Linked DNA regions of Anolis sagrei. The protein of the gene in region 2 interacts with the protein of the main gene of each other region in a biochemical or structural test. Links are inferred from orthologs where the notes say so. Each region holds a gene or a part of one and is shown on either strand. Other genes may lie near its edges.

What was found.
Region 1: the proteins of FGFR1 (region 2) and FGF9 interact in a biophysical measurement, tested with the Homo sapiens proteins (2 studies listed by BioGRID and IntAct, with this or other methods). The link is inferred for Anolis sagrei from reciprocal best matches to the Homo sapiens genes FGFR1 and FGF9.
Region 3: the proteins of FGFR1 (region 2) and FGF8 interact in a biophysical measurement, tested with the Homo sapiens proteins (2 studies listed by BioGRID and IntAct, with this or other methods). The link is inferred for Anolis sagrei from reciprocal best matches to the Homo sapiens genes FGFR1 and FGF8.
Region 4: the proteins of FGFR1 (region 2) and ANOS1 form a complex in vitro, tested with the Homo sapiens proteins (3 studies listed by BioGRID and IntAct, with this or other methods). The link is inferred for Anolis sagrei from reciprocal best matches to the Homo sapiens genes FGFR1 and ANOS1.

What each region holds. Positions count from the first base shown.
Region 1 is NC_090023.1:28,766,412-28,774,135, reverse strand, and holds the start of FGF9 (fibroblast growth factor 9), read right to left. Parts: upstream 3,143-7,724; 5' UTR 1,898-3,142; coding exon 1,606-1,897; intron 1-1,605.
Region 2 is NC_090027.1:2,236,385-2,244,580, forward strand, and holds the start of FGFR1 (fibroblast growth factor receptor 1), read right to left. Parts: upstream 3,066-8,196; 5' UTR 2,970-3,065; coding exon 2,879-2,969; intron 1-2,878. UniProt on the Homo sapiens protein: Tyrosine-protein kinase that acts as a cell-surface receptor for fibroblast growth factors and plays an essential role in the regulation of embryonic development, cell proliferation, differentiation and migration.
Region 3 is NC_090023.1:216,673,882-216,681,395, forward strand, and holds the start of FGF8 (fibroblast growth factor 8), read right to left. Parts: upstream 3,119-7,514; 5' UTR 2,667-3,118; coding exon 2,635-2,666; intron 2,451-2,634; coding exon 2,414-2,450; intron 1-2,413. UniProt on the Homo sapiens protein: Plays an important role in the regulation of embryonic development, cell proliferation, cell differentiation and cell migration. Required for normal brain, eye, ear and limb development during embryogenesis.
Region 4 is NC_090023.1:94,145,601-94,152,719, reverse strand, and holds the start of ANOS1 (anosmin-1), read right to left. Parts: upstream 3,096-7,119; 5' UTR 2,854-3,095; coding exon 2,641-2,853; intron 1-2,640. UniProt on the Homo sapiens protein: Has a dual branch-promoting and guidance activity, which may play an important role in the patterning of mitral and tufted cell collaterals to the olfactory cortex. Chemoattractant for fetal olfactory epithelial cells.

The DNA.
Region 1 (7,724 bases), on a different chromosome or scaffold from region 2:
CTCTCTGTCTCGGCCTTCTTCACAGCCCGCCCCACCCTCCAAGGAAAAGCAGAGGGACGTCCCCCGTCCCGACCCCCCCCCGTCCCCCCGTCCCGTCCCCCACGCAACCCGTCGGCTGAGGAGGAAGTTTCACCGAGTTGGGTCCAGCCTGACTCTTCTCTGCAGCAGACCCACTGGAATCAAATGGGAACTGGAGGTGACCAGTATCATCGCCCTCTGCAGATTCAACCCATCGCCAAGAAGGAAGTCAACACCTAACAGTGGGTCTGCCCTAGATGAGACCAGCATATTAGGCCAAGAGATCTATCTATGCCTGACTAACAGGGCATCCACACCGTAGAACAGGCATGGGCAGATTTGGGCCTTCCGGGTGTTTTGGATTCCAACTCCCAGCATTCCTAACAGCCTCAGGCCCTTTCCTTTTCCCCCTCAGCCGTTTAAGTCTGCCAAGGGGTGCCTCACCAAACTACAACTCACATGATTCCACAGCACTGAGCCCTGCCAGTTTGAGGCGGTGTCAATCTGCACTCACTCTACAGTGGAGATGCATCCAACCCCAGGGAGGTCAAGAGCATTTCTTTAGGAGTCTAAAGGTGCTCATAAAACTGCAGCTTCAAAATGGAAATATATAATAAGAGCGGAGGGTTCCATCCTAAAATTATTATTATTATTATTATTATTGCAATAGCATTATTATTGTTATAGTTTACTACTGATTGTGCATAACAAGCATGGGCAATCTTCGGCCCTCCAGATGTTTTGGACTTCAACCGGCTGTTAGGAATGGTGGGAGTTGAAGTAAGTTGAAATAAGACCAAAGCACCTGGAAGGGACTAAGTTTGCCCATGCCTGGTCCCTACACCCAAGCCTGGCCGCCTGCTGTGCATTTATTTATTATCAGAATTAGTATAAAACCGATAAAAATAGAAGGAGTGCAGGTGGCTAAATATCTTTGACCAAAAACGGGCAACAGCAACGGCATTGTCTGCAGCCTCCAACAATTCTGCCTCTGTACATGAGGCAGGGCATAGTGGACCAGTACACAGATGCGGAGTTGTCTGTTCTGCTCCACAGTGACACAAGGTGGGGGATTCTTTTGGGTTTTGCCAGGTTGTCCTTTGATCTGCCTACTCCACTTGTTCAGGGACTTCCAAGTTGCCCATTCGGGGGGGGAGGGGGGGCATCCAGTTGGGATTTCCTGGTTGAGCTGCCCAGAAGGATACCCTTGCTGTCGCTGGGGGGACGCCAAGAGGAGTGGTCGTTCTCATAAAGCCTTTCCTTGATTAGGGTCTACTGGGAGGAGACTGGTAGCCATGTAGTGGGTGGTTTTCACAGTGTTCAACCTTTTTTTTCATGTGCACTTACAGCTATGGATTTTTCCCCTTTGCTTCAAAAAAATGATGTCCCTGGCGCATCCCATCTGCAACTCCTGGAGGCTCCCTTCCCTCCCTTTCAAAGCTCTTCCACAACTATAACCGTGGACATGGACTCCCCCCCCCTCCTCCTCCTCCTCCTCCATGCCCTTGCCTCCCTACCAGAAGAGCCACCAACTTCTCTCCTGGCCCCCCTTTTCCCCCCGCCCTCCCCCTCCTGGCCCATACCTACCAAATCGGCTGTGGTCTTGCCTGGTGCCTTGGATGGTCCCATTGGGGAAAATCTCTAAATGGAAGCCAGTCCTGCAGTAGAGCTGCCTGCGCCTCAGGATGCCCTTTAAGTGGTCCAGGTCCGTCACGGCCGGCCCACGAGGCAGCCCCTCGGCCTGGCCCAAGTGGTCGCTCAGCAGGACCGGGCTGTCCGCCGGCAGGACCGGCATGTTCCCGAAGGGCGCCCCCGCCGCCGCTGCCGCTGCCGCATCCGGGACCCCGAAATAGTTGCCAACTTCTCCTAAGGGAGCCATGAGGAGGGGGAGGAGGAAGGAGGGAGGAAGGAAGGAAGAGGGAAGGAAGGAAGGAGGGAGGGAGGGGGGAGGTCCCTCGCTTGCAGCAAAACCGTCACGTCTGTGCCCAAGAGCCAGGACTCGCGGTTCTCTCCCGTTTCCCTTTCACGCGAGGAAAGGAGGCAAAGCAGGTTGCTGCGCCGCCACTCTCCCCTCCCACTTCCACGCCGAAAGGTGACTTCTTCCTTTAATCCATCAATGAGGATCAAGGCGGGGTCCTCCGAGGCCTCCTGCTCTCCTTTCCTGGCTGGGTCTGGGGTTCAAGGTCAACCCCTTAGGAAGCGCCCTCCGCCGCGGGGGACGCGCGTGGGCTCATCCTCCTCGCGCCCAGAGCCAGCGGAGAGAGATCCGGCTCGTGTGTTCCCCTGGCAGGGCTCCCTTCTAGCAAGCGGTCAGCTCTTCCGCCCATCCGGCCGTCATGAGGAGGAGCAGGGGGGTCCCGAGTTTCTCCGTGGGGCTCCGCATCGCAACTTCGGGGCCCTGAGGCCGAGGAGGAGGTGGAGAAGAAGGGGGGCGCATGGATCAGGGGCCGGGAGGAGGTGCAAGGGAGGGAAAGAAGCCTGGGAAGAGGCGCAGAGGCCAACCGGCCGCCCTCGGGGCTTCACGGGTCCGAGCCCCAGCCAAGCATGCGCTGTTTGGACTCTCTGCCCAGAAGGAGAGGAGGAAGAGGAGGAGGAGGAGGAGGCGAGGGGGGGGGGTCTCTCCCTCTCCCAAAGGACCCAAAAATCCAGAAAAGGGGCCGTTTGGTTGCTTCACTGCTTATTTATCAAGAAAGAACTTTTGACGTCCGGCTCTATGATCCAGGATCCTGAGGAGGCGGCTCGGCGCTTCAGCCTGGCGTGGATCCTCCTCCTCCTCCTCCTCCTCCTCCTCCTGTTCCACGCGAAGCAAGGCAGCCCTCCTCCTCCTCCTCCTTCCTCCTCCAGAGAGCTGCCGGTCTTCCCCGCTGGGCGCCCGTGCGGCGGAACAGGTGTAGGCAAGCTCTCCGCAAGGCTGCCTCTGCTGGGGCCGCGGCTGGTGCGGCGCCTTCTCGCTCTCTCGCCCGCTCTCCCTCGCTCTCTTTCTTCTCCCCCTCGGCTGTGTCTTTTCCATCCAAGCTCGCAGGGGAAAGTGGCGCAGGAAGAGGCATTGGGTTGGGTTTAAGGTAGTCCAGCTTGCGGGCGGGAGAAGGAGAGGGGGGGGGAGAGAAAAAAGGAGGGAGGGGAGGCCCAGAGGCTTCCCCCAGGTCCTAGCGCGCAACCTTCACCTGCGCAGCACCAGAGAGCCGCCGCCGCTCCCTCCCTCCCTCCCTGCTTCTCTCCTTCCCTCCGCCTCCTCCGTGACATCGAGTGGCCCGCTCGCTCTTTTTACTGCTCTGCGGCACTCCCGGCTCAGGCTCAGCCGCGGCTTGGGGAAAGAGGAAGAAAGGAAGGGGGGAAGCGCCAGGAACTTGGAAACGGAGCGACTTGTGGAACTGCAAAGATGCAGAATGGGGGGCAATGCCTGGCTCGAGAGCAGGCATTGGGGTCCTCGTGGACAACAAGTGAAACAGGAGCCAACAGTGTGATGCGGTGGCAAAAAAAAGCCAACGGGATTTTGGCCTGCATCAGTGTCTAGATCCAGGGAAGTCATGCTACCCCCCGATTCTGCCCTGGTTAGACCACAACTGGAATCACACAGTGTCCAATTCTGGGCACCACAATTGAAGAGAGATATTGATAAGCTGGAATGTGTCCAGAAGAGAGCAACTAAAATGATCAAGGGTCTGGAGAACAAGCCCCATGAGGAGCGGCTTAAAGAGCTGGGCATGTTTAGCCTGAAGAAGAGAAGACCGAGAAGAGACTTGTATAAATATGTGAGGGGAAGTCATTGGAAGGAGGGAGCAAGCTTATTTTCTGCTGCCCTGGAGACTAGGACGCAGAGCAATGGCTTCAAACTACAAGAAAGGATATTCCACCTGAACATTAGAAAGAACTTCCTGACTGTGAGAGCCGTTCAGCAGTGGAACTCTCTGCCCCGGAGTGTGGTGGAGGCTCCTTCTTTGGAGGTTGGATGGCCATCTGTCCGGGGTGCTTTGAATGCAATTTTCCTGCTTCTTGGCGGGGGGTTGGACTGGGTGGCCCATGAGGTCTCTTCCAATTCTATGACTCTGGTGCGAGAGAATTGGCTGTCTGCAAGGATGTTGCCCAGGGACTTCGGGATGTTTGATGTTTTACCATCCTTGTGGGAGGCTTCTCTCATTTCCCTTCATAGGAAGCTGGAGCTGACAGAGGGAGCTCTCACAAAGGGACCCGGTGCAAGGCAGGGTTAAACCAAGGGGCGATTTAGACCTACTGCTCCCCTGGACCTGAGAGTTGGGGCGGAGGGCCCGATCTGAGGCGGGCTTCCTCGGAGATCAAGCCCTCCCCACTTCCGAGTCCCTGCCCTGCCGCCCCAGACCCTGAACAGCGCCCACATACACTCCCAGGCGGGTTCATGGGGAGGAAAGCGCAGGTGGGCAGGATTCACGCCCCGAGAAAGGTCCGGCGCACGTGTTCCACAGGGAGGCGCGCCCAACGCGATCGACCCACGCGTCAAACCGGGATGAGAGGGGGACCTTCTCCGACACAATGCTCCCGGGATTTAGCGAAATGGAGAAAGAAGAGGCAAGAAGGGAAGGCGCAAGATGTCAACCCCGACAGGCTTAGTGGAAAGGGTTTTTTGTTTGTTTGTCTCTGACTCTGAAGAGCGGGGTTCGGATCCCCGCCAAGCCACAGAAACCCACACCGGGTGACCCTGGGCATGTCAAACATTTCTGCCCCAGGGCACACCAAAGCAAACGAGATCCAAATAAACCATGTCAAGAAAGCCCCGTGACAGATTCGCTTTTGGATCGCCATGAGTTGGAAATGACTCCAAGGCACATCACAAGGCTAGAAAACTACTTGAAAACATACAACCAACAACATTGTTCTGACCCACCAAGTGACATGTCCAGATGTGAAACCAGTGAGCCATTTTCTCTCCTGCATATCATCAGAAATTAATGGTAATCTTCCCCATTCGGCCATCCCTAAATTTGGGAAAGGAAGAGATTGGCAAAGAAAGGAAAAAATGAACTTTGCCTAACTCAGTGTTCCCAAGACCCACTGGTGGGCCACAAGACCTAAAATAAGGTCTACTGCGCCAGATTATTCAATATGGTCTTCTGTAGACAAGTAGATGGCAACTACTGGATGGTATATGTTCTGTAGAGCTGATGTTGTCTATCCAATGCAATTTTCTGAATCAGCACCCCAAATAACCACACCGAATCTAAAGTTTACCAAAAACTGATTCGTAACCCTTTTGGTACGAATGTTGGAGAGTGATCACTGGTCAAAGTGGTCCTGAGTCAAAGTGGTCCCTGGCCAAAGTGGTCCCTGGTCAGACTGGTCTCTGGCCAAAGTGGTCCCTGGTCAGACTGGTCCCTGGTCAAAGTGGTCCCTGGTCAGAGTGGTCCCTGGTCAGAGTGGTCCCGAGTCAAAGTGGTCCCTGGTCAAAGTGGTACCTGGTCAAAAAAAGGTACCAAGGGAACCACTGGCCTAATTGGATATGTGCATTATGTGCATTATTATCTCTGGCCCAACCCCTGTTCGAGTATCAGCCAGCACACCAGCGCCCTAAATCAAGAAATAGTTTTCTAAGTTCTGCAGAGATACTCTCTGGAACACCTCAGCAAGCGAGAGTCCAAAGTGACAGGCCTAAACCTAGAACCTCAATCAATGGCTGATACCAAATGAAAGACTCCCTCCTGGGCACATAAAAGACTGGGCGACTTGGAAGCCGCTGAACAGACTGTGCTCTGGCACCATGAGATGCAGAGCCAACCTTAAGAAATGGGGCCACAAAGTGGAGTCCACAACATGCGAGTGTGGAGAAGAGCAAACCACTGACCACCTACTACAATGCAACCTGAGCCCTGCCACATGCACAATGGAGGACCTCTTATAGCAACATCAGAGGCACTCCGTGGCCAGCTACTAGTCAAAGGACATTTAATAGAATGCCAAGTTTGCAAACTTTGTGTGTGTGGTTTTTTTAAAAATGCAATACAATTGTTTGGTTCACTCCTGACATGATAAATAAATAAATAAATGGTCAAGCAAGATCTGAAAAGCATACCTGGTACAGGTCAACTGCCAGAGTGAATGAATATGGACAGAGCCTGAGAACTTTACCTTTCTCCATGAGAACCTATCTACCACCAGAATCCTCTACTCTTCCTCCATGATTGGGAACCTTTAGATCAGGCCTGGACAAACATGGGCCCTCCATCCAAATGTTTTGGAGTTTAACTTCCATCATTCCTAACAGCCTCTTCCTTTTCCCTCTCAGCCACTTAAGTTGAAGAAAGGGCCTGTTAGGAATGGTGGAAGTCCAAAACACCTGGAGGTTCCAAGGTTGTCCATGCCTGCTCTTGAGATTGCAGTCCAATAAATACATATTTCCAAGTTCTGGGCTCTCAGGCCAATGGCACTAGATCTCTAAACTATAACCTCCATGAGAAGCTTTTTGACTATCCTCTGGTTAAGCCAGTGTTCTCAACCTTCCTAATGCCGCAACCCCTTAATACAGTTCCTCATGTTGTGGTGACCCTCAACCAGAAAATTATTTTTGTTGCTACTTCATAACTGTAATTTTGCTATTGTTATGAATTCTAATGTAAATATCTAATATGTAGGATGTATTTTCATTCACTAAACCAAACTTGGCACAAATACCTGATACGCCCAGATTTGAATACTGGTGGTGTTGGGGGTTAATTTTTGTCATTTGGGAATTGTAGTTGCTAGGATTTACAGTTCACCTACTATCAAAGAGCATTTTGAAATCCACCAATGATGGAATTGAACCAAACTTGGCACACAGAACTCCCATGAGCAACAGAAAATACTGAAAGGGTTTGGTGGGCATTGACCTTGAGTTTTGGAGTTGTAGTTCACCTACATCCAGAGAGCACTATGGACTCAAACAATGATGGATCTGGACCAAACTTGGCACAAATACTCAATATGCCCAAATGTGAACACTGGTGGAGTTTGAGGGAAATAGACCTTGAAATTTGGGATTTGTAGTTGTTGGGATTTATAGTTCACTTACAATCAGAGTATTCTGAACCCTGCCAACTACAGAATTGGGCCAAACTTCCCACACAGAACCCCCATGACCAACAGAAAATGCTGTGTTTTCTGACACTCTTTCACGAACCCCCCAGGTGTCCCACCCCGAGGTTGAGAAACACTGGGTTAAGCCTTGCATTTGGAAATGATTGCAGAAATTCCAGTGGTTCTTCTTGTTCACATTTGGGGGCCAGAGTTTGTTGTTGATGTGAACTGCCTCTTATTCTTGGTGACCCTATGAATGATAGACTTCCAAGTCATGAAGAGCCCTTCTACCATACCAAGCATTATTACCCTTTCTAGTGAGTCATCTCTTCTCAGTCTGAAGGCCTCTGACATTTCCAGATCTGAAGGCATGTGGATTCCAGAGGATCTGAGACTAAACACTGTTTCAAATTCACCCTTTTGAGACCATATCCTTGTGACCTCGTTGTATAATTGAGGGATTTAGTTCAATACTCTTGGGGATCCTGCATGATTTAAAAGGATGGTCTTGGTTCAGCTAAAAGTAGTCCATGGCAACTGCATTTTGAATCAGACATCCATGGGTGACCCTATCATTAGGCAGAGTGAGACACTTGTCTCAGGCAGCAGATGGTAGGAAGAGGCAGCAAGCTGTTGGGTGAGATCTAGGTGCCAACCAGCTTCCACCGAAATAAATCCAATCA
Region 2 (8,196 bases):
CAGCTTAGAGTCAATATCTCTCTTGAATTGTGGTGCCCAGGATTGGACACAATATTCCAGATGTATGCCAGTTGGAAGCCGCCCTGAGTCCCCCTTCGGGGGTTGAGAAGGGCGGGGTAGAAATACCCGAAATAAATAAATAAATAAAATATTGTATCCCATGCAGTTGTGGACAAGGCTACATAGGGACCCCCAAACGCAGCAGCTGCGTCCAAATACGAATCCAGGAACACGAAAGGCACTGCAGACTACTCCAACCAGAGAAGTCAGCCATAGCAGAGCACCTGATGAACCAGCCTGGACACAGCATATTATTGGAGAACACAGAAATGCTGGACCACTCTCACAACCACCATGTCAGACGACACAGAGAAGCCATTGAAATCCACAAGAAGCAGGTGGACAATTTCAATAGAAAGGAGGAAATCATGAAAATGAACACAATCTGGCTACCAGTATTAAAAAACTCTAAAATTATAACAGTAAATAAAGACAGGGGAGCTCCAGACAAGAAACAATCAGGGACAGCTAATCACCTCTCAACAAAGGATGTCCCCAGGCAGTAAGAAGCAACACCTTTCATCACAAAACCTCTAAACTGATATCTATCATTCCAAAGACTGCATTTATCTCTATCACAGGCCCCTTCTATGCTGCCGTGTAATCCAAAGTAAACCATCCACATTATCTGTTTTGAACTGGATTATATTAGTCTACACTGCCATATAATCCAGTTCAAGAAGATAATCTGGGTTTTATATGACAGTGTAGAAAGGGCCAACAGTTGTATATAAACAGAGCACCAAAGAGACACAGGTCCAATCTGCACGGCCACATAATCCAGTTCCTGAATTGGGATTAGCTACTTAGAAGTGGATTTTATGGGGCTGGAGCTACACTGCCATATAGAATGTAGACTGTCTGCTTTGAACTGGATTATATCACAGTGTAGATCCATCCCCATATAATTCAGTTCAAACCAAATAATGTGCATTATCTGCTTTGATAATCTGGATTATATGCCAGTGTAGATCCAGCCCCATATAATGCAGTTCAAACCAAGCAATGTGCATTATCTGCTTTGATAATCTGGATTATATGGCAGTGTAAACCCAGCTCCATATAATTCAGTTCAAAGCAGATAATGTGGATTATCTGCTTGAATAATCTGGATTATATGGCAGTGTAGATCCAGCCCCATATAATTCAGTTCAAACCAAATAATGTGAATTATCTGCTTTGATAATCTGGATTATATGGCAGTATAGATCCAGCCCCATATAATTCAGTTCAAACCAAATAATGTGCATTATCTGCTTTGATAATCTGGATTATATGGCAGTGTAAACCCAGCTCCATATAATTCAGTTCAAAGCAGATAATGTGGATTATCTGCTTGAATAATCTGGATTATACGGCAGTGTAGATCCAGCCCCATATAATTCAGTTCAAAGCAGATAATGTGGATCATCTGACTTGATAATCTGGATTATATGGCAGTGTAGATCCAGCCCCATATAATTCAGTTCAAACCAAATAATGTGCATTATCTGCTTTGATAATCTGGATTATATGCCATTGTAGATCCAGCCCCATATAATTCAGTTCAAACCAAATAATGTGCATTATCTGCTTTGATAATCTGGATTATACAGCAGTGTAGATCCAGCCCCATATAATTCAGCTCAAACCAAGCAATGTGCATTATCTGCTTTGATAATCTGGATTATATGGCAATGTGGATCCAGCTCCACATAATTCAGTGCAAAGCAGATAGCGGCTGTTAGGAATTGTGGGAGTTGAAGTCCAAAACACCTGGAGGACCCAAGTTTGCCCATGCCTGGTCTACACTGTCACATAATCCAGTTCAAATTAGATAAACTGGATTGTATGTGTGGATGGGGCCTGGATTATACTGCAATGTAGACTCATATAGAATCCTGGGGGTTGGGAGAGACTTCCTGGGCCATTATCCAGTCCACCCCCGTTCTGCCAAGAAGCAGGAATATTGCATTCAAACCACCCCTGACAGATGGCCACCCAGCCTCTGCTTAAAAGCCTCCAAAGAAGGAGCCTCCACCACACTCCCTCCGGGGCAGAGAGTTCCACTGCTGAACATAGAATCCAAAAGTTGGAAGAGACCTCATGGGCCATCCAGTCCACCCCCATTCTGCCAAGAAGCAGGAATATTGCATTCAAATCACCCGACAGATGGCCATCCAGCCTCTGTTTAAAAGCTTCCAAAGAAGGAGCCTCCACCACACTCCCTCCGGGGCAGAGAGTTCCACTGCTGAACATAGAATCCAAAAGTTGGAAGAGACCTCATGGGCCATCCAGTCCAACCCCATTCTGCCAAGAAGCAGGAATATTGCATTCAAATCACCCGACAGATGGCCATCCAGCCTCTGTTTAAAAGCTTCCAAAGAAGGAGCCTCCACCACACTCCCTCCGGGGCAGAGAGTTCCACTGCTGAACATAGAATCCAAAAGTTGGAAGAGACCTCATGGGCCATCCAGTCCACCCCCATTCTGCCAAGAAGCAGGAATATTGCATTCAAATCACCCCTGACAGATGGCCATCCAGCCTCTGTTTCAAAGCTTCCAAAGAAGGAGCCCCCACCACACTCCGGGGCAGAGAGTTCCACTGCTGAACAGCTCTCACAGTCAGGAAGTTCTTCCTCATGTTCAGGTGGAATCTCCAGTTCAAAACAGATTCAGAAACTGGATTATATGGCAATGTAGACCTAGCCATATTTGCACTTGAGCATCCCTTGAGAGCTGCAAAAAATGTGTTCTTGTGACCGTACACGCAGCCTGAAATCACTCCAATTCATCAACGGCTTGGAAACCAAACGGCACCCCAATACTTCTGTTCCTACCTTGCTCTGGCAGGGTTTGCGCTGGCCTTGCAGTGGTCAGTGTGGCTGTGACCAGCACAGCCCAAAGGAGGAGGCACTTCCACGTCAACATCCCAGATCTGTGGCTACAGGTTGGAAACGCTGCTCCCGGACTCCATGAGGACTTGGACCTTGGGCCTCGATGGGCAAACGGGAGATGGACTTCTTCTCGCTTGGATCTGCTCAGCTCTTTGCTCTCCAGGGCAGAGGCATCCAAACACTGGGGACAAAGAGAGAAAAGCAGAATGAAGGGTCAGGAAGCCAAAAGTTCTTATTCTTCCCAAGCTCCATTCTCCCCAATATGTTTACATTGTCAACCATCTATATCAGTGGTTCTCAACCTTCCTAATGCCACGACTCCTCAATATGCTTCCTCGTGTAATGGTGACCACCAACCATAACATTAGTTCCATTTTGCCACTGTTATGAATAGTAATGTAAACCTCTGATATGCAGGATGTATTTTCATACACTGGACCAAATTTGGCACAAAGACCCAATACACCCAAATCTGAATACTGGTGGGATTGGGGGAGGGTACTGATATTGTCCTGTGGGAGTTGTAGTTGCTGGGATTTATAGTTCACCTACAATCAAAGAGCATTCTGAACTCCACCAATGATGGAATTGAACCCAACTTGGCACACAGAACTCCCACAAGCAACATAAAATACTGGTGAGCATTGACCTTGAGTTTTGGAGTTGTAGTTCGCCTACATCCAGAGAGCACTGTGGACTCAAACAATGATAAATCTGGACCAAACTTAGCATGAATTCTCAATATGCCCAAATGGAAACACCAGTGGGGTTTGGGAAAAATAGACCTTGACATTTGGGAGTTGTAGTTTGTGGGATTTATAGTTCACCTACAATCAAAGAGCATTCTGAACTCCACCAATGATGGAATTGAATCAAATTTGGCACACAGAACTCCCATGATCAAGAGAAAATACTAGAAGGGTTTGGTGGCATTGACCTTGAGTTTTGGGAGTTGTAGTTCGCCTACATCCAGAGAGCACTGTGGACTCAACCAATGATGGATCTGGACCAAACTTGGCACAAATACTCAATATGCCCAAATGTGGACACTGATGGAGTTTGGGGAAAATAGACTTGACATTTGGGAGTTATAATTCCTGGGATTTATAGTTCACCTACAATCAAAGAGATTTCTGAACTCCATCAAGGATAGAATTGAGCCAAACTTCCGACACAGAACCCTCATCATCAACAGAAAATACTGTGTTTTCTGCTGGTCTTTGGTGATGTTTTTGACACCCCCTCACGACCCACCTCAGGGGTCCCAACCCCCATGTTAAGAAACACGGTCTTAAATACTACAAAGGAGAAAGGAATTCATTCTAATTTGCTTTCCACCCCCAGAAAATGTAATTCCAGAGGCAGGAAGTGCATTTTTTTCAGGAGGTGGAAGCAATCCAGTATGAATCACAGATGCAACATTAAAACATAATTTAGCAATCCAGGCACGAGGATCAGTCACTCTTAGGTTTGGGTAACCCCCTTTCCCTTCTTTTTCCAATACAGAGGTAAAAAGGGGAGGCATCTGCAGCGTGGAATTCATTCAGTTTGACACCACTTTAGCTGCCATGACTCAGTGCTATGGACCGTTCCCTGACCTACAAGAAGCACTGCCTGAACATCAAACAAAAAGTGGGTGCTAGAAACAATATCATACGAAAGCTGACTGGCACAACCTGGGGATCACAACCAGACACAGTGAAGGCATCTGCCCTTGCGCTTGGCTACTCTGCTGCTGAGTATGCATGTCTAGTGTGGAACACATCTCACCACGCTAAAACAGTGGATGTGGCTCTTCATGAGACATGCCGCATTATCACGGAGTGCCTGCGCCCTACACCACTGGAGAAATGACACAGGCACCACCTGACATCCTCCGTGAAGTAGCAGCCAATAGTGAAAGGACCAAGGCAGAGACATCTCCAGCTCACCCCCTGTTTGGGTATCAGCCAGCACGTCAACGACTTAAATCTAGAAATAGTTTTCTTAGATCTACAGAGACACTCGCTGGAACACCCCAGCAAGTGAGAGTCCAAAAGTGGCAGGCTCAAACCCAGCACGTCAACCAATGGCTGATACCAAATGAGAGACTCCGCCCTGGGCCCACAGAGGACTGGGCGACTTGGAAGGCGCTGAACAGACTGCGCTCTGACACCACGAGATGCAGAGCCAACCTCAAGAAATGGGGCCACAAAGTGGAGTCCACGACATGCGAGTGTGGAGAGGAGCAAACTACAGACCACCTGCTGCAATGCAACCTGAGCCCTGCCACATGCACAATGGAGGACCTTCTTGCGGCAACACCAGAGGCACTCCAAGGGGCCAGATATTGCTCAAAGGACATTTAATCAGCTACCAAGCTTGCAAACTTTGTGTTGTTTTTTTATCTGTTTGTTTGTTTTGTTCTGTTAGAAATGTAATACAATGTTCTGGTTGCGGATGACACGAATAATAAATAAATAGTGCTATGGATTCCCAGGAGTTGTAGTTTTACAAACTTTAGCCTTCTCCGCCATAGGGAGCTGGTGCTATACCAAACTACAATTCCCAGAATGCCATAACATTAAGCCATGACAGTTAAAGCAATGTCAAACTGCACTAATTTGACAATGTGGATGCTTCTTGTTACATTCAAATATACAGTATTATGATTCTTTTGTGTTTCAAGGAACCTCGAAACCTGTTTGGAAATTAAGGCTGTTGGATTAAGAAATGTTAACCTGTTGCAATCAGTTGTTTGTATTGCTCATTGCTATGCCTTTTTTTTTCTTAGTGGTAACAGAATGTCAAGGTATGAGGGTTGACTGAAAAGTAATGCCTCCACCTTCATTACTTGGGTTTGGATGGAAATATTTTAATAAATCAAACGCAGAAATAATCCTTAGAATGTGCTCTTTAACTACCACTATTCACTTTTCCACATAATCACAAGACAATTGGATACATTTCTGCCAACGATGAACAAGTTTTCTGAAGCCGTCACGGAAGAAGTCGACACTCTGTTTCCGCAACCAGCATCTCACAGTTCTTTCATCCTGGGTATCCATCGTGCACAGATCTTCCGCAATAATGTGGCCCACACGTTCTTGTGAAATGCCGATTGTGCTTGAAATTTCTCTCCGAGTGATACGACAATTGTCCTGAATCAATCTGTCAACCTTTTGCTTGTGAAACTTGGTGGTTGCTGTCACAGGATGTCCAACTCTTTGTTTGTCACGCAAGTCAGAACGAAAAACCTTCATTACTTGGGTTTGGATGGGAATATTTTAATAAATGAAACACAGAAATAATCCTTATAATGCTTTTTAACTACCAGTTTTCACTTTTCTACACAATCACCAGATAATTGGATACATTTCTGCCAACAATAAACAAGTTTTCTGAAGCCGTCACAGAAGAAGCCGACACTCTGTTTCCGCAACCAGCGTCTCACAGTTCTCTCATCCTGGGTACCCATTGTGCATAGATCTTCCGATAGCCAAGGAAAGCAATAATGTGACCCACACGTTCTTGTGAAATGCCGATTATGCTTGAAATTTCTCTCTGAGTGATACGATGATTGTCCTGAACCAATCTGTCAACCTTTTGCTTGTGAAACTTGGTGGTTGCTGTCACAGTACGTCCAACTTTTTGTTTGTCATGCAAGTCAGAACAAAAAACCTCCATTACTTGGGTTTGGGTGGGAATATTTTAATAAATGAAACACAGAAATAATCCTTAGAATGTGCTCTTTAACTACCACTATTCACTTTCCCATATAATCACCAGACAATTGGATACAGTTCTGCCAACAATGAAGAAGTTTTCTGAAGCCGTCACGGAAGAAGTCAACACTCTTGTTTCTGCAACCAGCATCTCACAGTTCTCTCATCCTGGGTACCCATCGTGCATAGATCTTCCGATAGCCAAGCAAAGCAATAATGTGACCCACACGTTCTTGTGAAATGCTGATTATGCTTGAAATTTCTCTCTGAGTGATACAACGATCATCCTGAATCAATCTGTCAACCTTTTGCTTGTGAAACTGGGTGGTTGCTGTCAGGGGACGTCCAACTCTTTGTTTGTCACACAAATCAGAACAAAAAACCTTCATTACTTGGGTTTGGATGGGAATATTTTAATAAACGAAACACAGAAAGAATCCTTATAATGTGCTCTTCAACTACCACTATTCAGTTTTCTACATAATTTCCAGACAATTGGATACATTTCTGCCAAAGATGAACAAGTTTTCTGAAGCCGTCACAGAAGAAGTCGACACGCTGTTTCCACAACTAGCATCCCACGGTTCTCCCATCCTGGGTACCAATCATGCACAGATCTTCCGATACCAAGCAAAGCAATAATGTGACCCACACGTTCTTGTGAAATGCCGATTGTGCTTGAAATTTCTCTCTGAGTGATATGACGATCGTCCTGAATCAATCTGTCACCCTTTTGTTTGTGAAACTCAGTGGTTGCTGTCACAGGACATCCAACTCTTTGTCACGCAAATCAGATGCTCCCACCTCAACATCTTTAAACTTACTTGCCCAATGATGCACAGTACTCACATCAACACAATCACCAGAAACAGTTTGCATTCTCTGATGAATCTCCTTTGGAGTGACACCTTCTGTTGTCAAGGATCCAATGACTGCACGTTGCTTAAGTCGCATTGACCGACCGTCTGTGCAGGGTTCCATACTTCGCACTTTAACAACACAACTGTTCAATACTAAGGCTCCCCGCCAAAATGGAATTATAGAGGAGAGTCTACTGAACAAGCCAGTACCTGCCGCATACCAGTACTGCCATCTGTTGAGGAGTTACGAGGGTGGAGGCATTACTTTTCATTCAAACCTTGTGTTTCTAAAGTGTCTTAAAATGGTCCAGGAAATCATCCATTTCATTTCAAAAGTAAGACTGAGCACTACTCTACCAAACACTTCCCTGCTTCAAAAGAACCTCTTCACACTTGAGAAAAAAAATCTACTTTAAATTCGGTTTCTGCATCCTGCAGAATTCTGGGGTTTGTAGTTTAGCAGCCTCACTAAACTACAAACCCCAGAATTCTGCAGGGAGCAGAAACCAGATTTTAAGTGGAATTTTTTTCTCTAGTGCGATGAAGTGGAATGTGATGAAGTCTTTAAAAAGCAACTTCAAAGTACAAATTTGAAGTCTGAAATCTATCCAGAAGTCTGAAATGTGAAATGCGCCCAGATACAAAAATGTGGTTGAGATAAAGTTGCCATAATTCAAGAGAGATATTGACAAGCTGG
Region 3 (7,514 bases), on a different chromosome or scaffold from region 2:
CATCCCTTCTACATCTCCAGTCTCCCTTTCAAGTCTGGAGGGCTTTAGTTGGCCCCTGACATTTATAAAGATGTATTCTGAGCAAATGTGGTGGAGATTTGCTCCTTTCAACCACATGGGGTGGCATTGCATGAAGTCATCTCCCCCCCCCCCCCCCCCCCTCAAAGCACTGGCTGGATCACCTTCAAGCCTCTACATCAAATGCTAAGGTTCTTCCATACTGATGGGAAAATCACCCCCTCCTTGAATCTGGAGTTTATAGAGGGCTTCCCTTGACAATTCACCTCTCTTTTCCTTTTGTGTGTGTGTGGAAAAGTGTGTGCCAAACACGTTTCCTATAGACGCTTTTGATAATATCTCTGGATTCCCTTGCTAGCTCTGATGAGGGGACCATGTGGATAACCAAACAGCCCCTTTGACTTCCACCCGATAGCCACAAATTATTCCAACACAGTTTTTACACAAGTCCCTTTCATTCAGAGCCATCTTTGTTACATACTCAGGCTTATAGAATTAGAAGGTGATTGCAGATTTAACTCAAAATCTTACACCTGTTCTTGTTCTCTCTCTCTTTCTCTCTCTCTCTCTCTTTGGTGAGGGTTGTTTTCCCCCTTTGTAAGCATTTGCCTTCTGCTCTCTGCATTTGCAATCAATATTGCAGCAGCAGGAATAGAGATTCCATAGGATCACTTCTAATTTCTAGAAAACACAAATGAATAAAACCAAGGTGTTTGATGCTGTTGTTTTTTTAAAAATGAAAATGTCTGCCTATTATATTGATTTCTTAAACTTTTAGGAACTGAAGACAAGTGTTTACCATTTTAAGGGCAAAGTTTTTATTATTATTATTATGATTTATTATTTCTCCTATTTATACATTGCTTTTCTCTACCCCAAGGGGAGCTCAAGGCGGACTTACATATGGCAATTATCCAAAGCCTTGCAACGCATACCACATTAAGCTTAAAATCCATTGAATTAAAATTAATACATATTAAATTTTAATTCAATATTTAAAATTAATTAATTAATTAATTCAAAATTAAATGAATCAACATTTATTTTTTATCTTGTATGTTCCACATCTATCTATCTGTGTTGGGGAATCTTAGGGCCCTTCCACACAGCTCTCTGTCCCAGAATATCAAGACAGAAAGTCCTACAATATCTGCTTTGAAATGGATAATCTGAGTCCACACTGCAGTATATTCCAATTCAAAGCAGTTAACATGGGTTATCTGCCTAGATATTCTGGGTTATATCGCTGTGTGGAAGGGCTCTTAGACCCCTTCCACACAGCTTGAATAAAATCCCACATTATGTGCTTTGAGCTGGGATATATGGCAGTGTGGACTCAGGGGTCCTTATTTATTTATTTATTTATTTACTGCACTTGTAGACCGCCGTTCTCAGCCCTAGGGCGACTCACGGAGGTCCTTCCACACAGCCCTATATCCCAGAATCTCAAGGCAGAAAATCCCACAATATCTGCTTTGAGCTGGGTTATCTGAGTCCACACATGGATAATGTGTGAATTTCTACCTTGATATTCAGCGATACTGGGCTGTATGGAAGGGCCCTATGATAACCCAGTTCAAAGCAGATATTGTGGGTTATTCTGCCTTGATGTTCTGGGTTATGGGGCTGTGTGGAAGGGCCCTGAGCTGTTAGGCTCAAAGTAACCCTCAGTAATAAATATAGCAAAAGTATTAGAAGTAAACTTCAAAACCCAGCAGAAACCTACAGTCAGATGAAGCTGGGATAAGCTTCTATTCTTAGGATGGCACAGGATGGCTGATGACCCTTCCACACAGCCCTATATCCCAGAATATCAAGGCAGAAAATCCCACAATATCTGCTTTGAACTGGGTTATCTGAGTCCACACTCAGGGCTCTTCTACACAGCCCTATATCCCAGAATATCAAGGCAGAAAATCCCACGATATTTGATTTGAACTAGTTTATTTGAGTCCACACTCAGGGCCCTTCCAAATAGCCCTATATCCCAGAATATCAAGGCAGAAAATCCCACAATATCTGCTTTGAACTGGGTTAATTTTGTCTACACTCTGATAATGTGCGATTTTCTGCCTTGATATTCTGGGATATCGGGCTGTGTGTAAGGGCCAAGAGTCAGAACTTTAACAACCTGCAATCTCGGGGTATTTTTGGACTGGCCAAGTTCTTATCTGGGTTGCCCCACAAAAATTTGCCTTCCCTTCTCTGCTGCGCCTTTGGTTCTGCACCAAACCGGTGCCTTCTAGCTTTCTCCGACTGTTTTGAAGGCCATCCCTTTAAAAGAAGAGGCGCTCAAGCGTCACCGTTGGCGGCGCGCTCGAAACAAACAAACAAACAAACAAACAAAAACAAAGCCAAAGAAGGCGCTTCAAAAAGTAATAAAGCCGTTCCTTACCTGTGCCTGCAAGCAGAAAGCAAACAAGTGCAGTACCCTAGAATAATAGGGAATGGGGAGGGGAAAAAGGGGGGAGGGAAAAAAACACAAAAGTCGATGGTGAGATGATTGGTTTTGTTGGGAACTTTTTGAAATGGAGAAGAAATATAAATGGGGGGAAAAATAATAATCAAGGAAGCTTGGAAAAGAAAGGAAAGCCGGGAGGAAAGAAGCCGACTTACAAATAGCTGAAGATGGAGGAGAAGAGATTCATCCTGAGGAGCCCGAAGCTGGAGAAGAAGGAGGAGAAGGGACCCCGTGTGGGAAGGGTGAGTGGCGGGGGTCCTTTGCGGGGCCGGCGACCTTTCCACGTTCCCTCCACGCCAGGCTCTCTCCTTGGAGCCCTCTTCCTCGGGCGGTGGCGAGGATTCCTCAGCGCCAAGAGGTCCCACTTGGTGGCCAGTCCATGCCCGAGGATGCTTGGAAAGGAGGGAAGGAGGCAGGAGAAGAAGATCAGGGCGCTGGCTGCGGAGGAGAGGAGCCCGGAGCCTTTGCCTTTGGACTGACAGCTCAAGGAAGAGGATGATGAGAGAGAGGGAGGAGAGGGCGAGGAGAGGAGGAGGAAGCAACGCCTTTGGAGAGGTTCCCTTGGTCTTGGCGAGGCTGGGGCGCACTGCGCGCTTCTCTCTCTGCCTCTTCCTTACCCTTTGCTTGGCTCTCTCTCTCTCTCTTTCTCTGTTCCTCCCTCTCTCTCCTGCTCTCTCTGCCTCTGCTTCTCTCTCTTTCTCTCGGAGGAGTGCGCCCCGGCCCGGCCCTGGTCCCTCCTCTTGTGCGCGCTCGCCAATGTGCCAGCCCCTTCCTTCTCATCTGTCCGGGGATGGCCTGCCTTCGCCCACTCGCTCCCCCAACCCATCCCACCCTATCCACACACACACACACACACACACACACACATCCCACCTCCAGTGCCTCTCCTGCCCCCCCTCCCCCCAAATGGCACCTTGGACAGTCTTCTTTCCACAGAGAGATAAACCCAATTTTCCTAGTTTCCAACAGACTTCACAATCTCTGAGGGTGCCTGCCATAGATGGAGGCGAAACGTCAGGAGAGAATGCTTCTAGAACGTGTGGCACCTTGGACAGTCTTCTTCCCACAGAGATATAAACCCAATTTTCCTAGTTTCCAACGGACCTCACAGCCTCTGAGGGTGCCTGCCATAGAAACAGGCGAAACGTCAGGAGAGAATGCTTCTGGAACATGTGGCACCTTGGACATTCTTCTTTCCACAGAGAGATAAACCCAATTTTCCTAGTTTCCAACAGACCTCACAACCTCTGAGGGTGCCTGCCATAGAAGCAGGCAAAAGGTCAGGAGAGAATGCTTCTGGAACATGTGGCACCTTGGACAGTCTTCTTTCCATAGAGATAGAAACCCAATTTTTCTAGTTTCCAACAGACCTCACAATTTCTGAGGGTGTCTGCCAAAGAAGCAGACGAAACGTCAGGAGAGAATGTTTCTGGAACATGAAGCACCTTGGACAGCCATCTTTCCATAGAGAAAGGTAAAGGTTTTCCCCTGACATTAGGTCCAGTCGTGTCCGACTCTGAGGTGTGGAGCTCATCTCCATTTCTAAGCGGAAGAGCCGGCGTTGTCCATAGACACCTCTAAGGTCATGTGGCCGGTATGACTGCATGGAGCGCCGTTACCTTCCCGCAGGAGCGGTACCTGTTGATATACTCACTTTTGCATGTTTTCGAACTGCTGGGTTAACAGAAGCTGGGGCTAACATCAGGTGCTTGCCCCCGCTCCCTGGATTCGAACCGGCGACCTTTTGGCTAACAAAGCTAGACAGCTCAGGGGTTTAACTCACTGCGCCACAGAGATATAAACCCCGGTAGGCTGTTAGGAATGGTGGGAGTTTAAGTCCGAAACCCCTGGAGGGCCGAAGTTTGCCCATGCCTGGGTTAAACCTCTGTGCCGGCAGGACTGCTGACCGACAGGAGCTCCCTGTGTCAGCTCCAGCTCCCCATGCGGGGACATGAGAGAAGCCTCCCACAAGGATGGTAAAACATCAAACATCCGGGCGTCCCCTGAGCAACGTCCTTGCCGACGGCCAATTCTCTCACACCTGCAATCCTAGAGACCCCCAAGGGCCATCCAGTCCCCTGCAACATCAAAGCGCTTCAGACAGATGGACATCCAACTTCTGGTTTGAAACAGGCTGGATGTCCATCTGTCAGGAGTACTTTGATTGTACTTCGATTGAACTCCGCTATGCAGGACTAGATGCCCCATAAGGTCTCTTCCAACTTTATGATTCTGATTATTAGATTCTATACCAAGGAGGCAGCATATGTGGTGGAGGCTCCTTCTTTGGAGGCTTTGAAACAGAGGCTTGATGGCCATCTGTCGGGGGTACTTTGATTTTACTTTGATTGAACCCAATGGGGTCCCTTCCAACTCTATGTTTCCATGACTATTAGATTCTATGACAAGGAGATAGCATATTCCACTGCCGAACAGGAACTCCTCCCTAATTTTTAGGTGGAATCTCTTTTCCTGCAGCTTGGGTAGCAGTGGAACTCTCTGCCCCTTCTTTGGAGGCTTCTTTGGCCATCTGTTGGGGGTGCTTTGAATGCGATTTTCCTGCTTATTGACAGGGGGTTGGACTGGATGGCCCACGAGGTCTCTTCCAACTCTAGGATTCTATAATTCCCCACGTGTACACTTTCACCTTTTCGCCCTCCTCTCTCCAAAACACTGTTCCACCCAGGATGATGTGTTGGACGACTTTGAAGGCTCTGTGGGTAAAATAGGGAGGCTTTGTTGGGACACGAACAGGCAGGGGAAAGCCACGAGTGGGGTGTGAGCTCGCCCTGCCACAGTCGCGCCGGGAAGTGGGCGCCGAAACACCTGCCGCAAATGAAGAGACTCCGCGGGAAAGTTGCGCAAAAGCCTAGTCTCGCGTGTGCGCAAAGAGCGCGTCGGTGTGCTAAGTCAAGCAAACGCTCTGCCTCTTCCTTTTCGGGTCGGGATCCAAAAGAGCTGGGAAAAGGGAGCTGAAAGTGCGTGGGAAATGGTATCGTTTGCCTGCGAGAACGTGGCGCGTGGAGAAGAACACTTGGTAAGGAAAATGTGCGTCAAAAGGGATGCTTGAGCACAGCCACAACAGCAACAACATAGATCTATAGCAGGTATGGCAAACTTGGGCTCTCCGGGTGTTTTGGATTTCAACTCCCACCATTCCTAACAGCCTCAGGCCCTTTCCTTTCCCCCCTCAACCGCTTAAGCGGAAAAGGAAAGGGCCTGAGGCTGTTAGGAATGGTGGGAGTTGAAGTCCAAAACACTGCAGGGTCCAAGTTTGCCCATGCCTGATCTATAGGATACTTTGAAGTGTTGTGTGGTTTCCAGGCTGTATGGCTGTGTCCTAGCAGCGATTTCTCCTGACGTTTTGCCTGCATCTGTGGCTGGCATCTTCAGGATACTTTTCCTGAGAGATAAATTCAAAGCAAGAAACAAACCCACTCAATAAATAGCTAGCATATTGAAACAGACTAGAGCTTGAGTTGTTTATTTATTTATTTACAACATTTTATGCCATCCTTCTCACTTCGAAGGGGACTCAGAGCAGCATATAAATTATATATAAGAGGATTGAATAAAAAGTAATGCCTCCACCTTCGTAACTCCTCAACAGATGGCAGTACTGGTATGCAGCAGGTACTTGTTCAGTAGACTCTCCTCTACAGTTCCATTTGGGCAGGAAGCCTTAGTATTGAACAGTTGTGTTATTAAAGTGTGAAGTATGGAACCCTGCACAGAGAGTCGGTCAATGTGACTTAAGCAATGTGCAGTCATTGAATTCTTGACAGCAGAAGGTGTCACCTCAACATCTTTAAACTTACTCGCCCAACAACGCACAGTACTCACATCAACATAATCACCATAAACAGCTTGCATTCTCTGATGAATCTCCTTTGGGGTGACACCTTCTGCTGTCAAGTATTCAATGACTGTATATTGCTTAAGTCGCGTTGACCGATCGTCTATGCAGGGTTCTATACTTCGCACTTTAACAACACAACCGTTCAATGCTAAGGCTTCCCACCAAAATGGAACTGTAGAGGAGAGTCTACTGAACAAGCCAGTACCTGCTGCATACCAGTACTGCCATCTGTTGAGGAGTTACAAAGGTGGAGGCATTATTTTTCATTCAACCCTTGTACATACAATATATTATATTATTAGCGTAGTACAACATCATTATTATATATTACAATATTGTACTATACTATAATATTGTAATATTATTAGTAATATTACATGTAATATAAAATATATAATTATAATATTGTATTATTATTAGTAGTAGTATTACATTGTATTACATGATTGTTGTGAGTTTTCTGGGCTGTATGGCCATGTTCCAGAAGCATTATCTCCTGACATTGCACCCATGTCTGTGGCAGGCATCCTCAGAGGTTGTGAGGTCTATTGGAAACTAGGAAAATTGAGCTTATATATCTGTGGAATTCTTTCTCGCACCCCAGACTTTCCACAGATATATAAATGAAATTTTCCTAGTTTCCAACAGACCTCACAACCTCTGAGGATGCCTACCACAGATGCAGGCGAGAATGCTTCTGGGGCATGGCCATACAGTCCAGAAAACTCACAACAACTCAGTGATTCTGGTTATGAAAGCCTTTGACAATACAGAGTAGAGCTTGTGTAGAGAGCCAGCATGATGTAGTGCAGGGGTCCTCAAACTAAGGCCCGAGGACCAGATACTGCCGGCCGTCCAAGGTCATTTACCTGGCCCTTGTTCAGGGTGAACCTAAGTCTGAAATGACCAGAATGCACACAACAACAACAATCCTATCTCATCAGCCAAAAGCAGGCCCACACTTCCCATTAAAATACCAATAAGTTTATATTTGTTAAAACTGTTCTTCATTTTAATTATTGTATTGTTTTAAAGTGTTTTTTGCACTACAAATAAGATATATGCAGCGTGCATAGGAATTCATTCATGCTTTTTTTCAAATTATGATCTGGCGCTCTAACAGTTTGAGGCACTATGACCAGGCCATCTGTTTAAAACGTTTCAGGACCACTGATG
Region 4 (7,119 bases), on a different chromosome or scaffold from region 2:
ATCTAAGGTAGATCTATCAGCCCCAGATCCAAGAATGGACAATTCTCTCTCTCTTTCTCTCTCTATACGTATACGTATACATATACGTATATATGTGTGTGTGTGTGTGTATATATATAAAACAAGCAATGAAGAATATCCATCAGTTCCATACAGAGTATTAACAAGATGGAAAACATTTACATGAATCTGCAAGAAGAGGGTGAAAAGATGAAATCAATAGTTTTGTTGTTGTTGGGGGGGGAGGCTCTTTTCCTAGGTGGCTGTGAGTTCTTTTTGGGCTGTATTGCCATGTTCCAGAAGCATTCTCTCCTGATGTTTCACCCACAAGTGAGGTTTATATATCTTTGGAATGTCCTATTTTTTTTCCTATTCTGACCATGTAGAGGCATAAGTGGTAGGCTCTGCATTCAGATGAATGTTAACAGGTACATCATTTTTTTTAACAGTACAATCCTGTCACTGCTTACTCAGAAGGGAATCCCACTGAGTTTGGTACAAGTTACTCTCAGGATTGCAACCCCAAGATGCTTAACTTTGATCCACTGCTTCAGGTTTTCAAGTTTTTAAAACTGTGATTTAATCTGTGTGAATAACTATCACCTTCGTAGCCAAAACACTCTCCCTTCATCCTTATGAATACACATCTCCAGATGTCACGCTTTGCTCCAGTATGCTGAGGGGGAACAGATCCTGAGGTTTGCTTGGGAAGATGTGTTCAGAGCAGGCTTGGGAGGGAGGCTTTGCCTGAGGATGAGAGAGTGTGACTTGCTCAAGATCCCCCAGTGGGTTTCCATGGCCTGGTGGGGATTTGAACCCTGCTCAAAATTGTCCAATGCTCAAACCTCTGCTACAGATTGAAGAGACCACATGGGCCTTCCAGTCCAGTCCCATTCTGCCATGCAGAAAACACCATCAAAGCCCTCTGGACAGATGGCCATCCAGCCTCTGCTTCAAAACCTCCAGAGAAGGAAACTCCTCACATTCCCCTACCGAACAGCTCCTCCCCTCAAGAAGTTCTTGCTAATGCAGAGTCACACAAGCTTCCAAAAATATTGGGAGCTGAAAGGATGTTCAATCTCTTTCCCTAAAGCTTCATAGAATCAAAGAGTTGGAAGAGACCTCATGGGCCATCCAGTGCAACCCCCTACCAAAAAGCAGGAAAATCACATTCGAAGCACCCCCAACAGATGGCCATCCAGCCTTTGTTTAAAAGCCTCCAAAGGAGCCTCCACCACACTCTGGGACAGAGAGTTCCACTGATGAACAGCTCTCACAGTTAGGAAGTTCTTCCTTATGTTCAGGTGGAATCTTCTTTCCTGTAGTTTGAAGCCATTGTTCTGCATCCTAGTCTCCAGGGAAGCAGAAAACAAGCCTGCTCCCTCCTCCCTATGACTTCCCCTCTCATATTTATAAATGGCCATCATGTCTCCTCTCAGCCTTCTCTTCTGCAGACTAAACATGCCCAGCTCTTTAAGTCGTTCCTCATAGGGCTTGTCCTTTGATCATTTTTGTTGCCCTCCTCTGGACACATTACAGCTTGTTGGCATCTTTCTTCAACTGTGGTGCCCAGAATTGGACACAATGTTCCAGATGTGGTCTGACCAAGGCAGAATAGAGGGGTAGCATGACTTCCCTGGATCTAGACTCCTATTGATGTAGGCCAAAATCCCATTGGCTTTTAAAGCTGCTGCATGACATTGTTGGCTCATGTTTAACTTGTTGTCCACGAGGACCCCAAGATCTTTTTCTCACATAATGCTCTCAAGCCAGGCATCCCCCATTCTGTATCTTTGCATTTCATTTTTTTCTGCCTAAGTGGAGTGTCTTGCATTTGTCACTGTTGAACTTCATTTGGTTAGTTTTGACCAATCGTCTCTCTAATCGGTTAAGATCGTTTTGAATCCTGCTCCTGTCTTCTGGGGTATTGGCTATCCCTCCCAATTTGGTGTCGTCTGCAAACTTGATGATCCTGCCTTCTAAGCCTTCCTCTATCTAAGTCATTAATGAAGATGTTGGGTTTGAACCCCTTGCTCCTGTGCTAGCCTCCAGAGCAGCAGAAAACAAGCTTGCTCCCTCCTCAATGTGATATCTTTCCAAATATTGAAGCATGGCTCTCCTGTCTCCTCCTCTCAGTCTTCTTTCCTCCAAGGTAAACAGACCCAGCTCATGGCCTCGATGGCAGAGCTGCACTCTCGCCGCCCCTTCCCCGTGTTGAGGAAAAGCCTAACCCTGATGTGTCCCCACCCGAAATGCGAGGAAGTCCCTTGAAAGACCTGCCCAGGAGGACGAAGCCAAGCGGCAGGAGCTGAAGGCAAAGGCCCAAGCGAGTCCTCTGGGGGACTTCTGTCCCAAGTCTGGGGGATTTCAACTCCCAGGGATGACAGATTTTGGAATTGGAAGAGATCGCAAGTGGCACCTTCTCCAACCCCGTCCTGCCCTGCAGGGACACAATCAAAGCGCCCCCGACGGATGGCCACCCAGTCGAAGCCCAGCCACCCAAGCGGCTTCCCGCAAAGCCCGGCCTTGGCGCCTCTTTCCTCCCGAAGGACTCCGGCAGGTGCGGCGAGCCCTGGAGAGGAGAGGCGGCCCTGGGAACTCGCGGGGACTTGCTGGGCCTCCGGGGAGCTCCCGCCTCACCTGGAAATGCTTGAAGAAGGCGGAGATGCGCGTGATCTGCAGGCTGAGGCACCGGGAGGCGCACCGGGCGCCGGAGACGCTGCCGGCCGCCGAGAAAGAGTCGTCCTGCCGCCGGGAAAGAGCCATTTCGCCCGCCCCGGAGCCCCAGCCGGAGGCCATGGCCAGGAGGAGAAGGGGCCAGGCCACGCCGGGATCCCGCCGCCGCCGCCCCATGGCTCGCTGAGAGACAAGAAGAAGAGGAAGAGGAGGAGGAGGAGGAAGCAGCAGCAGCAAACGCCGGCCCGAGGCGCCTCAGGAAGCAGGAGGCGAAGGAGACGCTGCCACCTCGCCGAGCAGCACGACAGAAACTCCGCTCGAAGGGGAAGAGGCGAGCGAGCGAGCGAGCGAGTGAGGGAGAAGAGGGGCGCGCCAAAAAGAAAGTTCAATCATTCAACTCCCTCCAAGCCCCCGCCTCCCTCCCTCCCTCCCTCCTCTCCCAGGAGGAGGGTGGGGAAAAGGTGACAGGAGGCGGCGCCATTGGCTGGAGGAGGCGCGAGTGACAGGCGGGACGGGAGGTCGCGCGGGCGCCGCGGGAGGGGGAAGGGGGCTGCGCGCGGAGGGGCTGCCTGCGGGGGCGGGGCCAGAACTTCCCCTCACGTGGCCGCACGTGAGCGGACTGCGGCGGAACCCAAGGGAACACCTGCCCGGACCAGACTCCCGGGGAGAGGGCGGCGTCTCGCGGGAGCGCCCCAACTTTGAGCGGCGTCTGTTTCGGACTTCAGCTCCCAACCTTCCTGGCTGTCAGTCAAGCTGGTTGAAGCTTCTGAAGTTCAGAGTACCTAAAGGGCCAAAGTTGGGAACCACTGGTTCTCGCCCTAATACAGTGGTTCTCAACCTGTAGGTCCCCAGATGGGTGATAGTATGAGAGCTGGGGCCTGAAGCGCCGAGCGTTATGCACATTGTGAATAAGGGAAGGGGAGAGCGGCACACTGAGGGTAGGAATATACTTCAGTTTGGTGGAAGGATAGAAAGGCGAGGAGGGTTAGGATAAAGTTTAGGGTAAGGTTTAGGGTTTGGGGTAGGGTGAGGCTTAGGGTTAGAGTAAGGCTTAGGGGTTAGGGTAAGGCTTAGTGGTTTTACCATTAAAGAATTTGTACATTCCTTCTATAATATCTGTCTTCCGTTCTGCGTTGCGCAAACAGCGCTCCCAAAGGAGCGAAGCGGAAAGAGTGTACGTCTCAGAGCTTCCGGACCCAGTTGTCATACTATTACCCCCAGATGTTTTGGCCTTCAACTCCCAGAAGTCCTAACAGCTTGTAAACTGGCTGGGATTTCTGGGAGTTGTAGGCCAAAACACCTGGGGATCCACAGATTGAGAAACACTGCCCTAATGCAACCTGAGGCCACAGCAGAGGATGGAAAACTTATTTATTATTTATTTATTTACGATATTTATAGCCCGCCTTTCTCATCCATATGGCAACTCAAGGCGGGTTACAATTTGATGCCAGAAATTCATAAAAGTGCCATTAAAAATAACATTACAATATAAAACATATATAAAAACCATTAAAGCATATAATATTCAGTGTTACCCTGTTAAAAACATTATCCAGTAACATCGTCTGGCTATTTTATGTTCATTATTCATAGTTCTGTGTTATCTATTCCGCTGCAATCTCAAAAGCTTACTCAAAGAGCCAGGTCTTTACTTTTTTTTCAGAAAGTCAGGAAGGAGGGGGCCGATCTAATATCCCTGGGGAGGGAGTTCCATAGCCGGGGGGCCAACACTGAGACGGCCCAGTCCTTTGTCTCTGCCAACCACACTTGTGAGGCAAGCGGGATCGAGAGCAGGGCCTCCCCAAGCGATCTTACACTCTTAGATGGTTCATAGGAGGAGATACGTTTGAGCAGGTAAGCTGGGCCCAAATCATTTACGGCTTTTTAGGCTAAAGCCAGCACTTTGAATTGTGCTCAGTAACAAATTGGCAGCCAGTGTAGTTGACGCAATATAGGAGTTGTGCGCCACTCCTGTTTGTAACCTGGCAGCCGCCCATTCACACCTGTAGCCGGGGGGGGGGGGGGGTTAGGAGTTCAATCCCCCCCCCCCCGAAACTTTTCAGGTTAGAAAAAAAAACCTGGTTTACTCATGAATTTTAACTGGCTAACCAAATCTCCATGCTAAGTCTATGAGATTGCACCTGCAGAAAAACCATCAAATGCACTGGAAGCATATCTTGTCTGTGACGGACAGTTTTTTCCGAATGTGAAGAAACTTTTTCAGATTTCTGCAATATTGCCAGTGTCAACAGCTACAAATGAAAGGTCGTTTTCAACCCTTAAACGTTTGAAAACATACACAAGAAGCACAAGGAGGCAAGAAAGACTGACTGGACTTGTACTCTTGAGTGTCCACCGAAGTTTATCAATAGAGCCTGATTTCTGTCAAAGTGTATTGACACAGTTTTCAAGTGTTTCTAACAAACATTGTGGTATTCTTTTGTAACTATAAATTATCAATTAGCAATCATTTTCAGTTATTTTAAGACTTGAAACTTTAACTAAAATAGAAATTTGATTTAATGAACTCTATATAAAATATAATTGAAACCATATAATTTAAAGTATTTTATGTTATGGCATGATGAAACATGCCTGTTACCCTTTGTAGTCTTTTACCTAGGTCATTACTATCTTAAATGCTGGTTATAAGTTTTAATCCTTGTTTTATCGGTTTTATCTGCTGTTTATTCCACCCACATCTTGTGGCTTAATCAGTTTTGGCTATTTTTGCCCTTACTAACCTTGCATACCTTGTATCTTCTACCTTTTACGAAGCAATAAGGATCTTTGGACTGTATTAAAAATGTTGTTGTGTTATCGAACTACTCTTCATGATTTGCTAAAAAAAGTTTCAACCCTCCCTAAAAAAATCTTTCTGGCTATGGCCCTGCGCCCATTGGATCATTTGAAGCTTCCGAACAGTCTTCAAAGGCAACCCCACATAGAGTTTGTTGCAGTAATCTATTTGGGATGTAACAAGAGCGTGGACCACTGTGGCCAAGTCAGACTTCTCAAGGTACGGGCGCAGCTAACGCACAAGTTTTAACTGTGCAAATGCTCCCCTGGTCACCGCCAAAACTTGAGGTCCCAAGCTCAGCGATGAGTCCAGGATCACACCCAAGCTGCAGACCTGTGTCTTCAGGGAGTCCACTTCTTTATTTTATTTGTTTATTTATTTGATGCACTTATTAACCGCCATTCTCAGCCCATAAGGGCGACTCATGGCGGTGTACAGTACACATAAAAGACAATTACAAAAAAGCCAGTTTCAACAACATATAAACTATACAACAATTACAGACTACACTAAAAATCCGCTTCATCTCTTAGTGGAATCATAGCCAGTCTCATATTCCTTGTTCCATTCCAGTTCTCATTACCGTATTGTTTAGCACTTAATTAAATGCCCTCTCGAACAGCCATGTCTTAAGGCTTTTTCGAAAGGACATGAGGGAAGGCGCCTGTCTGATGTGTGCAGGGAGAGTGTTCCACAGCCGGGGGGCCACCACCGAGAAGGCCCTCTCCCTCGTCCCCGCCAGCCGTGCCTGTGAGGCAGGCGGGATCGAGAGAAGGGCCTCCCCAGACGATCTCAAGGTCCTCGTGGGCTCGTAGGCCAAGATGCGGTCGGAAAGGTATTTTGGGCCGGAACCGTTTAGGGCTTTGTAGGCCAAAACCAGCACCTTAAATTGGGTCCGGTAGCAAATCGGCAGCCAGTGGAGCTGGGACAACAAGGGCGTTGTGTGCTCCCTGCCACCCGCTCCAGTTAGTAACATGGCTGCCGCGCGCTGAACCAGCTGAAGCTTCCGGGCCGTCTTCAAGGGCAGCCCCACATAGAGAGCGTTGCAGTAGTCCAGGCGGGATGTGACAAGAGCGTGTACCACCGTGGCCAAGTCAGACTTCCCGAGATACGGGCGCAGCTGGCGCACGAGCCTGAGCTGTGCAAATGCTCCCCTGGTCACCGCTGAAACCTGGGGGTCCAGGCTCAACGATGAGTCCAGAGTCACACCCAAGCTGCGAACCTGCGCCTTCAAGGGGAGTGCGACCCCGTCCAGCACAGGCTGTAACCCTATACCCCGTTCGGCCTTGCGACTGACCAGGAGTACCTCTGTCTTGTCTGGATTTAGTTTCAGTTTGTTCGCCCTCATCCAGACCGTTACAGCGGCCTCCTTAGTAGCAGGTGGGAAGGAGTGACAGAGTTGGACATCATCTGCGTACAGATGACACCGCACCCCGAAACTCCGGATGATCTCACCCAGCGGCTTCATGTAGATATTAAACAGCATGGGGGACAGTATGGAACCCTGTGGCACCCCACAAGTCAAAGGTTGTGGTGCGGAACAGGAGTCCCCCGATAACACCTTCTGGGTGCGGCCCTCCAGAAATGACTAGAGCCACTGCAGAGCAGTGCCCCCAATACCCATTTCCGCAAGGCGCCCC